Danio rerio: one gene and its partner. The protein of the gene in region 1 purifies or fractionates together with the protein of each later gene. This does not show direct contact. Links are inferred from orthologs where the notes say so. Each region holds a gene or a part of one and is shown on either strand. Other genes may lie near its edges.

Evidence for each region. The genes of interacting proteins can lie anywhere in the genome.
Region 2: the proteins of supt5h (region 1) and nelfa purify together in Homo sapiens (affinity purification with mass spectrometry; 3 studies listed by BioGRID and IntAct, with this or other methods). This does not show direct contact. The link is inferred for Danio rerio from reciprocal best matches to the Homo sapiens genes SUPT5H and NELFA.

The regions. Positions count from the first base shown.
Region 1 is NC_133190.1:22,857,398-22,863,400, forward strand, and holds part of supt5h (transcription elongation factor SPT5), read left to right. Parts: intron 1-144; coding exon 145-214; intron 215-294; coding exon 295-363; intron 364-943; coding exon 944-1,009; intron 1,010-1,097; coding exon 1,098-1,128; intron 1,129-1,231; coding exon 1,232-1,300; intron 1,301-1,691; coding exon 1,692-1,943; intron 1,944-2,101; coding exon 2,102-2,191; intron 2,192-3,364; coding exon 3,365-3,435; intron 3,436-3,541; coding exon 3,542-3,647; intron 3,648-3,729; coding exon 3,730-3,823; intron 3,824-5,283; coding exon 5,284-5,420; intron 5,421-5,582; coding exon 5,583-5,738; intron 5,739-5,829; coding exon 5,830-5,976; intron 5,977-6,003. UniProt on the Homo sapiens protein: Component of the DRB sensitivity-inducing factor complex (DSIF complex), which regulates mRNA processing and transcription elongation by RNA polymerase II.
Region 2 is NC_133182.1:24,484,954-24,490,956, reverse strand, and holds the end of nelfa (negative elongation factor A), read right to left. Parts: intron 4,843-6,003; coding exon 4,715-4,842; intron 4,511-4,714; coding exon 4,441-4,510; intron 4,073-4,440; coding exon 3,984-4,072; intron 3,904-3,983; coding exon 3,792-3,903; intron 3,249-3,791; coding exon 2,938-3,248; intron 1,432-2,937; coding exon 1,332-1,431; intron 1,237-1,331; coding exon 1,052-1,236; 3' UTR 468-1,051; downstream 1-467. UniProt on the Homo sapiens protein: Essential component of the NELF complex, a complex that negatively regulates the elongation of transcription by RNA polymerase II.

The DNA of each region.
Region 1 (6,003 bases):
TTAAATTATTAACAGATTATTGCACTGGATATAAATACAGCTATTATTATTTATTATTATTATGGACTTTTTTTGTCTAGTTGCAATATAACTTCTTGTTCTTCTTGCCATATAGTAATTGTTTATTCTGTTTTCTTATTTTAGTGTCCAACCTTGACCATGTAGTTCTGGATGAGGATCACTCGGGTTCAAGGAGGTTGCAGAATCTCTGGAGGTGCGAGTACTGCACTAATCACACACTTTCACATTCCTGAAAATAACGTCATTTTAGTTACCTGTTTTTTATCTTTTTAGAGATTCTCGTGAGGAAGCTCTGGGGGAGTATTACATGAGGAAATATGCCAAGTCTTCAGGAGGCGAACAGTAAGTTCAACTGCTCTCAAATCTACCATCTGTCATCTGTCATGAAAGTTGGCAATCGCATGTGTTGGAATTAAAGGAATGCTGGTTTACTGCGTTGGCCTCTCTGCTGGTAGTATTAGCTTCAAATGTCAAGCCAAGCTCCGCCCATGAAACGTGGATTATTACAAATACAGCAAAGAAATTCGCTTTTCTAGAACAAAAAAAAACTTTCACTTCCAGTCATCTCAGTCTAAATGACATTTATGTAGAAATGCATCATCAAAGTAATGAATAAATCTCTGAACGAAGCCTACATACTACATTCATGCATTACTATTACATACCTGTATTGCTGACAGATCATTAAAGATATTGATGATGTTGTAAAAGTTTCAAAGATGTTTGTGAATGAATGATGTGTGATTGTGTGATGGCTGGGCTGTTTCCACACACTTAAACAAAATGTGATTGGTTGGTCAACCTGTCAGTCAAAAAGCATAAAGTAAAGTCCTTGACCATTCAAAGCAGACAAAGTGTCCAGACCTTCAGCCACTATTCTGGTGCTGATTACTAAATCTTTTTGCTCTGTCTTTTCTCTCAGCTTCTATGGTGGCTCTGAGGATCTTTCTGATGACATCACACAGCAACAATTGCTTCCTGGGGTCAAGTATGAAGAAAATCTTATTTATTGATCATTAGACATGCTGAATTAAGTGGACTTGTGTTCAATAGTTTTTTCCCCCGGTTTTATTCAGGGATCCTAATTTGTGGACTGTTAAGTGTAAGGTTAGTACTGGATATGCTTATGATTAATGGGGTTAATGGGTGACTTAATGAGGTTACAGTATGTGCAAGGTTTAATTAATCTGTTTTTTGTCTTTATTTGCAGATTGGAGAGGAGAGAGCAACTGCAATTTCCTTGATGCGAAAATTCGTTGCTTATCAGTGCACTGACACGGTATGTTTTCCATAGTTTCTCTCTCTTCTTTAGACCCATTTAGTTTGTCAAGAAAGTGTAAGTGCCATGGTTGGTGAATATCCGATTCACACAATCTCAGCCATTGGTATATAAGACACAAACTGTACAATCTTCATCCGAGCTTAATAAAGATAGGAGATTAACTCCCCATTTTGTGTATTTAACTGGGGCCTCATACATGAAACATTACATCATGAAAATGTACTTGAAAGTCTTGGAAAAGTCATGGAATTTTAGTAGTAAAAATCTACTCCTTACAATCTTATACCGACCCATGCCTACGATAGATATTAAAGAAATGCTACAGAGTGGAGAGGATATTTAGCATACACATATTTGTATTAACTTTGTGCTTTGTTTCTTTGTACAGCCACTTCAAATCAAATCAGTAGTTGCCCCTGAACATGTCAAAGGTTATATCTATGTGGAGGCGTACAAGCAGACCCATGTCAAGGCTGCCATTGAGGGTGTGGGAAACCTGCGCATGGGCTTCTGGAACCAGCAGATGGTGCCCATTAAAGAGATGACAGATGTGCTGAAAGTGGTTAAGGAAGTTACTAACCTTAAACCCAAGTCTTGGGTTCGTCTCAAGAGAGGCCTTTATAAAGATGACATTGCCCAGGTGAGTACTTGGACATATAGATTATGTATCTGAAAAGGAGTCCCTGTTGTTGATACTGTAATGTGTTCTGGAAATAATTATTAGGTTTGTTAGTCATACAGCTCTGCTTATGTCTGTGATAAACCTTTGATCTGTGTTTTTTTATTTATCTTTTTCAGGTGGACTATGTTGAACCTAGTCAGAACACGATTTCGTTGAAAATGATTCCTCGTATTGACCTGGATCGTATCAAAGCAAGGATGAGTATGGTAAGGTTCTCAATTTTTACAAAAACAGCACAATATATCTTAATATTTTAAAAAAGGTCAAAAATCTTACCTCATGTCAAATCAGCATATTAGAATGATTTCTTAAGGATCACTGAAGATAGGAGATTTATAGGCTGATTTACACTTTCACCTGGATCTGCAGTGTGAGCCTCAACTAAATGCGAGTGCACAGCAAGAAGGGTATACAATGGAGGTCAGAGCCAGCTCCAAGTGGGTGGGACTTGAGCTCCAGTAATGCTGTACAAACCTTCTGGAGTTTTCATTGATTTTACTAGTGGCATAAGTCCCCTCCACTTAGAGGTCTCTCTAGGCTGCAGCCATACCTACTTGCTCACAGCTGCAAGTTGTGAAGGCTTTTATGCTTGATGTGTTAGCTGTTGTACTAATATTTGCAACAATAGGGGGTGACTTGTAGTATCTGTCCTGATGAAACAGTAGTAAAGAAGAAGTCAGTGAGTGGAGTTGCAAAATGAATTAATTTAACTATATATGAAACTAATCAGTTGTGGATAATTTTGGTGGACTCTTGGAAAATGTTTGCTTTTAGTACAGATGAGGAAGTGAGTAACTTGAGCTGCATATATAGACAAGCTGACTGCATACTTAAGGCAAATCCTTTATGTGGTAAAAAATAATAAGCTATTGACAACCAGTGCACAAAATATATGCATTGGTTTAACTCTAAGCTTACACATCAGACAGTGATTTTTGGTTTTCTAAAAGTGTTACACATGCACATTCACCTAGATTGGCCAGACTTGGCTCCAAGTCCGGCATCTTCAGATTACAAGTTACAAAAAAGGTGTTTCACTCTGTCAGCTATAATTATGCAGAGCGCACCCAAAGTGAACATCTGCAAACACCACGATGATATCACATTTGCCGCCCATACCCTAGTGAATTACAGATGTTATATTGAGTGTAAACCAGCCTTAATGATCCTGAAAATTCAGCTTTGTTATTTGAGTAATAAATTACATGGTAAAATATATTAAAATGAACTGCTTTTACAATAATATAGTTTATACGGTTATAGTGCATTTGTAACCAAATAAATTCACCTTAAAAAGATAGTCTATATACATCTTTTATTTACATCTTCTATATTAATCTTTTAGTGATCTGACTCCAGCTTTATTGTTCATCTTACAGAAAGACTGGTTTGCAAAGAGAAAGAAGTTCAAGAGGCCCCCACAGAGGCTTTTTGATGCTGAAAAGATCAGGTGATGTGATTGTAAGCCTCATAATCAAACCCGCTTAAATGCATTATGTGTACTGACACACATGCATCTCTCTTTTTTTATTTTTATTTTATTTTATTTCCCACAGGTCTCTTGGTGGTGAGGTCAGCCATGATGGTGATTTCATGATATTTGAAGCGAACCGCTACAGCAGAAAGGGTTTCCTGTTCAAAAGCTTTGCCATGTCTGCTGTGGTAAGAGCCCTGGGAGCGCTTTCTAGTTCTATCTTATTGCTCCTTATTGGTTCACTTTTTCAACTCCTGTTTGTTTGCATAGATCACAGAAGGGGTGAAGCCCACTCTGTCCGAGCTGGAGAAGTTTGAAGACCAGCCAGAGGGCATTGACCTTGAAGTAGTCACAGAGACAACAGGTGAAGACATCTATATATAAAAAAAAAACAATTACATGTGACATACAGTATTTAAATATACAGCTTTCTTAGTAGGCTAGCAAATATAATTTTTAAATTATTAATTAGATTTAATTTATTTACTGTACAAACTATGGTTTGTACTTGCCAGTAAAAAAACTTGCCAGTAAAACACTCTTCAATATAATCTGTAGTTTTTAGTGCTGTTGTATCCAAAATACCTTTTTCCAAATCAGGGTATTCGCGGGGTCTTAAAAAGTTATAAAATGTCTTACATTTCAAAAACAAAAAAATTTAGGGCACAAAAAGTCTCAAATTCTGTCTTAATTAATTTTAAATGAGTCTTAATTTTCCTGTCCACGTCAAGCTACCCAATCGGGCCAACACGCATCCAGTTACCAAAATTATCAATAGAACTATGTCAATATAACTCAATAGAAAATGTCAATAGAACTTTTAAACTTTTTTTGTAAATCTGTCTTTATTTACCTACAGTATATGATTTAATTATCGTCATTTACAGTAATATTTGTTTTAAAGTTCTCTGTATTTAAAGTCCATATATGGTGTGGACACTAACCTGGACAGACTGGTTGTGCTTGCATTTTTAAGATTTTTTAAATTTCTTTTTAAGATGGGTTGTGTTTAAAAATATGTATAGGGTTTGCTTGTTTTGACAGTTTATTCAAATAGGTGGCTAAGAAATAACTAATTATAATATAATATAAAAAAGTCCTGTATAAGTCTGAAATTTCATTCATAATGGTCTTAAAAATGTCTTAATTTAAGACTGAAACCTGCAGAAACCCTGCAAATATATTTACATTTATACCCTAGAAACAACACCCACACAGAATGTTTAATGCTACATTCAAGTCATATAAATATTTATGTGTTGAAAGTACATGAATGATGGTGTGTCTGTGAGAATACATGTCCAGTGCAATGGATGCAGTGTCTGTTTTGACAGTAAATTATAATGTAGTTGGTCTTTTACACTACAACCCTATATGTGGCATCTATAAAATTGTGTACAGTAATGATTGCAAATATAAACGTTAAATTTTTAATATCAAATCACCACAACAGTTCTTCCTATTTTTAACACTCTTTATTTCTTCTATTTGTAACTCCCGCAATAACAGACAGGGGTCTTTATATACCCTCAAAAAGCCCACACTAGCACACACATTCTCCTTACACATGCGCAGGTCATAAAACATAACAAATAACATCACCTTAAATATTTTATAAACATAAAAAGGAACATTTTGTATTTTTAGTAAAACTACTAAGACATTTTTTAGAGAAGGTACTTTACTGCTTGAAAACATCAGATGTCACAATTAACTCATAAATACAATCTTCCCAGGATTATTTGAAATTTGAACACCATCCAACTATTTATTGAGCAATCTTTGTGAATTAAACAGCTATCTTTCTTTTTTTTTTTTTGGCAGGTAAGGAGCGAGAACACAATCTCCAGGCGGGAGATAATGTGGAGGTGTGTGAAGGGGAGTTGATCAACCTTCAGGGCAAAATCTTGAGTGTGGATGGCAACAAAATCACCATCATGCCCAAGCACGAGGACCTCAAGGTGAAGAAATCGGCACAAGCTGCAGTGTGAATGAAAAGTCAATCATGTTCACCTGATCCTATTAACCTACCGTGAAATGTGTTTAAACATCCTGAAAATCTCATTCTGCATAATGAATCCTTTTTACACTGATTATCTACTTACTGTCCTGACTTCTTTTAGGATCCTCTTGAGTTTCCAGCTCATGAGTTGCGGAAGTATTTTCGTATGGGTGACCATGTGAAGGTCATCGCGGGGCGTTATGAAGGGGATACAGGCCTCATAGTTCGCGTGGAGGAGAACTTTGTCATTCTGTTCTCTGATCTCACCATGCACGAGGTAGGTTTCACTATTAAACTATGGAAAACCACATACAGAAAAAACAACATTGTTTTTTTTTTTTGTCTGAAATGTTGTGCTTCTGTTGCAGTTGAAAGTTTTGCCCCGGGACCTGCAGCTGTGCTCTGAGACGGCTTCAGGTGTGGATGCTGGAGGCCAGCATGAGTGGGGGGAGCTGGTACAGTTAGACCCTCAAACTGTAGGTGTCATTGTCAGGCTGGAGAGAGAGACCTTTCAGGTAAACGCCCCGTGAAAGTGACCTGTT
Region 2 (6,003 bases), on another chromosome or scaffold:
GCGCAAATGAACTACACCCACAAAAAAAAAAAAAAAAAAAAAAAAAAAAAAAAACGTACAGGAAAGCGCTGAAAAGTGGGATAATGGCATCTGCTGCTTCAAGAAGCATTAATAGACAAATTAATATCAAAGAAAAACAGCATTGTGAAACTTTGATTTCAAACATAAACAGATCATTTTGAAGAGCTGTTGCAGAATTGTTGTCACGGCTTACAGATCATCAAGCAGAAGCTTGAATTAAATTATAAATCAAATCGCAATCACAATATCTGTCAAAAATATTGCAATTAGATATTGTTCCCAAATCACACAGCCCTATTTTGAAGTTATTCCCGCATTGAAAATGATCATTAAAATGGTTGTTCAATGAATTAACCAGTAATATGTGAACTAAGTCTTAAGCAAATGACTTATTCAAATCAGGATGTTTTCATTTTTTCTCTCTTTTAAAAAAAAAATGTTTACATAACTTTGTTTTACACTGTTTATTGTTTTCATTTTTTTTTTCTTCCCTTCTGAGGAGGAACTTGAAAACATTTTTAAACATTCTGATTTTGAAAACACAGGAACAGATTCTCGTTTCATTCGTGGGACACCGTAATAGCATGTTTGTACCCTTTTAAGATCTCTTAATAACGTGTCAATCAATAGTAGGTTAAGACAAACTAACAAGCCCCACCTCATGAAATCTGAAATGGGCCTAAAAAGAAGAAACGATACAAACATTAACAAAAAGATAAAGAAAACATCTGTCTTACAAGAGGGTCCCTGTCTTTGGCAACGCAGGAACAGAGATAGGACATGAGGTCAACCAAACAGGAAGTCTTTTTTCCCAACTGTCTGAAACCCAACATCCAGAGATTCACTAGCGCATATTCCCAATACCTCAGAATTTGGCCCATAAATATGTACATTCCAGCGCATGTACATGATTGTGTTTATCAGCACTTCCTCAGGTGATGTTGAAGAGGGGTGTGAATGCATACATATGCATCCATGTAATTGCGCTGAGCGAGTGTGTGTGTATGTGTACTGGTTAACCCAGACTTCCTCAGGAGACGTTGGTAATGGGTTTGTATTTCTTGAGGCGGGTCCATTGCCCAGTAGAGTAGTTCATCTCAAACACTGTGTCCACCAGCATGGTCGTGCTGCCGGTCCCGTCCGCTTTAGGCAGAACTTCTGTGTGCTCGCTCAGCTTGATCTGAATGATGTCACCCTGCTCTGGACAGGGGTTTTCTGTAGAGACGATGAGAAATATGACAATTAAAAAAAGAGGAACCATAGGGTTGTCAACTCATTCACAAAACTGGACGAAATCACAACCAAAATACCTCGTGATCCAGCCATGAAGCCCAGAATGAGGGCTTTTTCGGGCCGTGTGACTTTGTTTGCAGTCTTGAACATTTCTTGTGCAGCATACATCTGTTCCCTCTGTGGGCAAAACAATGCAGCATAAGAGTTTACAGATTGTCACCATACACTACCATTCAAATGATTTGAGGGAAATAAAGTTCATTTTTAAAGAAGTTAAAACATTCATGCTTCTATTAAACTGCACATTGTGGTAACACATTAAAATGACACTTGAATGACCATGTGACAATGAATACCAAGTAGTGGCTCCTGAAATGTAAACAGTCAACACGAGACATCACTCTTTTTTTTTTAAATGTTTGGCTAAATAAATGCAGCCATGGTGACCATAAACAATGTATATTAAACATTACAATAAATATTTAAATCTTTAGGTATTATAGACCTTTTTCTCTTGCTACATGGAACATGCGCCATATCAACCAGCATCTTCCAGTAGGGTGCTTAGAATTTCCTTTTACAGCGTTTACAATTGGAAAATCTTGATCCAAAAATGATTGTCAATACCGTTTTGAGTGGCTTACGGAGTGTTTTTGTGATTCAGAACTTCGATTTTGGCCTGTTTAAGCCATTATGGTGCTGTCAGTTGCGGTGCATTATAGAGCAAAACATATTACTGGCATGAAATGCAACAGGTAGGTAACCTTCAGCTAAGCAATTTCCAAAAAATAAAAGTACATGACTGATACTCTGCTGGCTGATTTGCATGTTGATTATAATCGGGAGCTGTTTATGTTTCATTTTGGTAGTTTGTGTAGTGTAATATTTACCATGGTATGTTTTTCTGTCATTTCAAACATCACTTTGTTTTAACTTTGTGCCACTTGTTAAATCAATGTGTTAGTGCAGGGGTGTCAAACTCAATTCCTGGAGGGCCAAAGCCCTGCACATTTTAGTTCCAACCCTGCTCCAACACGCTTACCTGTAGGTTTCAAACAAGCCTGAAGGACTCAATTAGTTTGATCAGGTGTGTTTAATTAGGGTTGAAACTAAACTGTGCAGAGCTGTGGCCCTTTTGGGACTGAGTTTGACACCTGTGTGTTAGTGGAACAGAACAAAGTGTGTGTCAAACATTTTAGTGAACTGCGTTTGTTTGGCTTGGTTATACATTTGAAAAGAGAAAATGTTTACTTTAGCAATGACGATGCTCTTTTAAATGCTCAAGATGCCGCCTGACGGAAATGGTAAACGACTCACAAAATGTTGTTTTTCCATCCCATTAGATCGCATTTTTCAGTCCAGGAGGCAGTATTTTTTTGTCAACAGCAGTATTAGTTCAAAGATGCTAAAAGCAAGTAAAATGGATTAAAACTATAATTTTTAAGCTGTCTGAATGTGACCGTTTATACGCATCAAGCTGCCGACTGGAAGTTATTAGCATCCTCCTTACGCATACATGCAAAGCATAATGGGTAATTTTGCGTTTTAAGAAAAAGGTTTATAATTGATAGAATTTATACTATTTTACTCATTTAAAAACAAACAAAAAAAAACCCTATCTGGTATGATCAAAAGCAGGACAGTCCAGTAAAGCATTATCATCATATAACTGAAATCAGTTACCGTGAGCGAGAGGTTCTTTTTGGGTTGTGTCTGTGGGGGTGCTGGCGTGGGTGCAGGCTGAGCTGCAGTGGTGGGCGGCTGTGTGGGCATGTCCGGCTGTGCTGCTGTGGCGGCAGGGGGCGGGCCATTGTTTGTGGGCGTGCTGGTTGGCGTGGTGGGTGAAGTGGGCGCGGTGGGACTGGCAGTGCTGGCATTATACATAGGCGGCCGCTGTTTGAACTGGCCAGGTAGTGAAGCGGCAGCGGCACTTGGGGCAGCCGACTCCTCCGACTGTCGGTTTGTAGTTTCACGTCCTGAACCACCTGCGTTCGCTGGTTATTCCAAAGCAAAGACAGAAAAAAGATTGTTAATGAGACTGTAAACTGGCTTTTTATTAAAGAATTGAAATTAAAAAATATTTTTTTACATGTTAGTATAAGTATTGTTAGTTTTAAGGATATCTATAAGCTAGTGTTCTCCAGTGACAAAATTTGCGGTTAGAAGATAAACAGATTGTAGTTTATCACTTCCTTCTAAATAGATGAACAGTTTTTTTTCACATGACCTCATACTTCAGTTTCTCATCAAATAGTGACCAATCAAATGCTCTCTAGTATCTGACATGCCCTCGACCCCTTCAAGACGCTTCATGTTTAATGCACTTGGGCTCAAGTACTCTCACTGGCAGAGCTGTGACAAACTATTGGCTGTTTTATAAAAAGGAGAGGGGTTACATTATGTCCTACCCTCTCATTATATTTCGGTTGAGATTGTCAAACATCTATGACCTTAAACATCTGATTAGCTGTTGTATCTAACTGTACTGTTTAAATTTATTCTTGCAACCCTCACACCTGCATCTCTCAGTGGCTCACCTGGCTGCGTCTCTGAGCTGGGAATATAAGACGATGAAGGAACCATGCTGGGAGTGGCGGGAAGGTAACTGGTTGATGGCAGGGCACTCTCATTGTTTAGCGCCCCAAGTTTCTGTTGAAATGAGGTGAAATTAGAGTTCTGGTCTGATCAGCTTTCAAAGTGTCACTCTTATGGCTGATTTCAAAAGCTACCTGTGTGGAAACCAGGCCAGCTGCGTAGTCTGGTGTGGCGTTTTCCACCACCGCCTCTTCTTTGGCTGCCTTTTCTCCAGCTTCTGTGTCTGAAGAACACACATAAATTATATTCACAAAAACACAATTAATTAGTAGTGATATAGAGTAAAAATTCCACCAAAACATTTTTTGAGTATTTATAAGCAAACAATACTGTATAATCCTGAACCATGGGTTAATGTCACTATTTGCATATTTGCAGTGTCGGCATCACTGACTGGACAAATGTAACACACAACCGGTTTACACATTATACATTTTTGACAATGCCTGATTGTTTTTGATATAATATCCAAAGCTTGTAAATTAAGCTTGTAAACAAACGTGGTGTTTTAAAAGCACCATTGAGAATGATGATAAGCTGATGTTAAACAGTGCGAAAAGATCTCATGTCATTAAATCTTCTTGAACTTACCCAGAGTCTTTCTTCTCCTCTTAGCTTCTCTACCAGCTCCTACCATATCCAACTCTGATATATCCAACAACTGCAGAAAGAAGAATACAATCACATGAGCTAACAGTATAAAGCATATAAAAACATACCATCCCTACTCAGAAACCAAATTCAGTTTGTAAAACCAAATGTCACACACAAAGTTTGCTTTTAAGCATTTAATAGAGAGTAAAAGCTACTGAGATTTATTAACGTTGTTCAGTGACTTTATAAAAGGTGATTGGAGGACAGTTACCTTGACACCTCTCTCCTTACGTAGGGGTGTGCGGGCAGGGGCGATGGGGGTTCTGTTACTGGGAGGGCTGAACATGCTTGGGGTGGTGGGGCTGCGGAATGGTGCTTTGGGAATTCCCTTCAGCGGCGCTGAAAGAAGTAATGAAATTCATTTTTACTATTACGTATTAAGATAAAAGGTTTGGGTAATAAGATATTTTTTCTGTTAGAAACTCAGAAAGGCTAAATTTACAGTAAGTTAGTTACAATCAGAGTTGGGAGTAACTGTTACTGTATTCTAATTATATTTGAGGAACGCAGTGATGTAACGAATTACATTTTAAATTTGTGTAATGATTACAGTTACTAAAGTCAATGTAATTGCGTTACAAATAGAATTTTTAGAAGGAAAAAAGTGCTTCTTTTAAATCACACTTTCTGCTGCAACATCAGTTAATAAGCATGTGCTTTTAAATTGCTGTCAAGAGTAGTTGCTTTAAGTGGAAATATAGACATTTTTTTATTTTATTGAGTGTAAAAACAAATATATTGCTGTGAAATAGTCTAAATTCAGTCTCTTTTGACTGCTTTTAACTCCACCAGCAACTTGTTCAAGTACCTGAATAGATTATATTGCATTCTTTGACAATACTCGCCCAAAAACTCGGCGGCCCAACTCAGTCTAAACAGGCTAAATTAGATTTTTGTGCAGGATCGGGAATAAAGGTATCTTCTGAATGTGAAGTGAAGCGTAGCTGCTTATCGGGTTGTTCACATATCACGTCTTTTGCCAGTTAAAAACAGCAAGTCACGTGACAAGAACTGAACGGTCAGCTTCATATTTTGTATGGAACATACACATTTCAGTAGACTAATTCCCTCAGACAATCACAACAGCTAAAACACTGCAGTGCTTTTTCATACTACGGATGTCAACGGTTACAGGTATCCAGTTTTCTTCTAAATGTCTTTTGTGTTAAAAAAAAGAGGCATACAGGAGTGGAACAAGTGAATGATGAGAGAATTTTAAGTTTTGGGTGAACTCTAAGTCTTTTGAATATGTCAAGCAGCTGTGATCAACGCATTGCAATGTTTTTCAGTGATTATTAAATGAATGTTTTATTAAATGACTATTAAAAAACTTTATTTTGTATTTTTATAGGTATATTTTATGTTTTAAAAGTAACTTCATAGTAAAGTAATTAGTAATCTGATTACTTTTTACATTAAGTATTTAGTAATGTAATCAGATTACAATCTTTCAGTAGTAGACAGTCATTTGTAATCGATTACTTTTTTTAAAGTAACTTA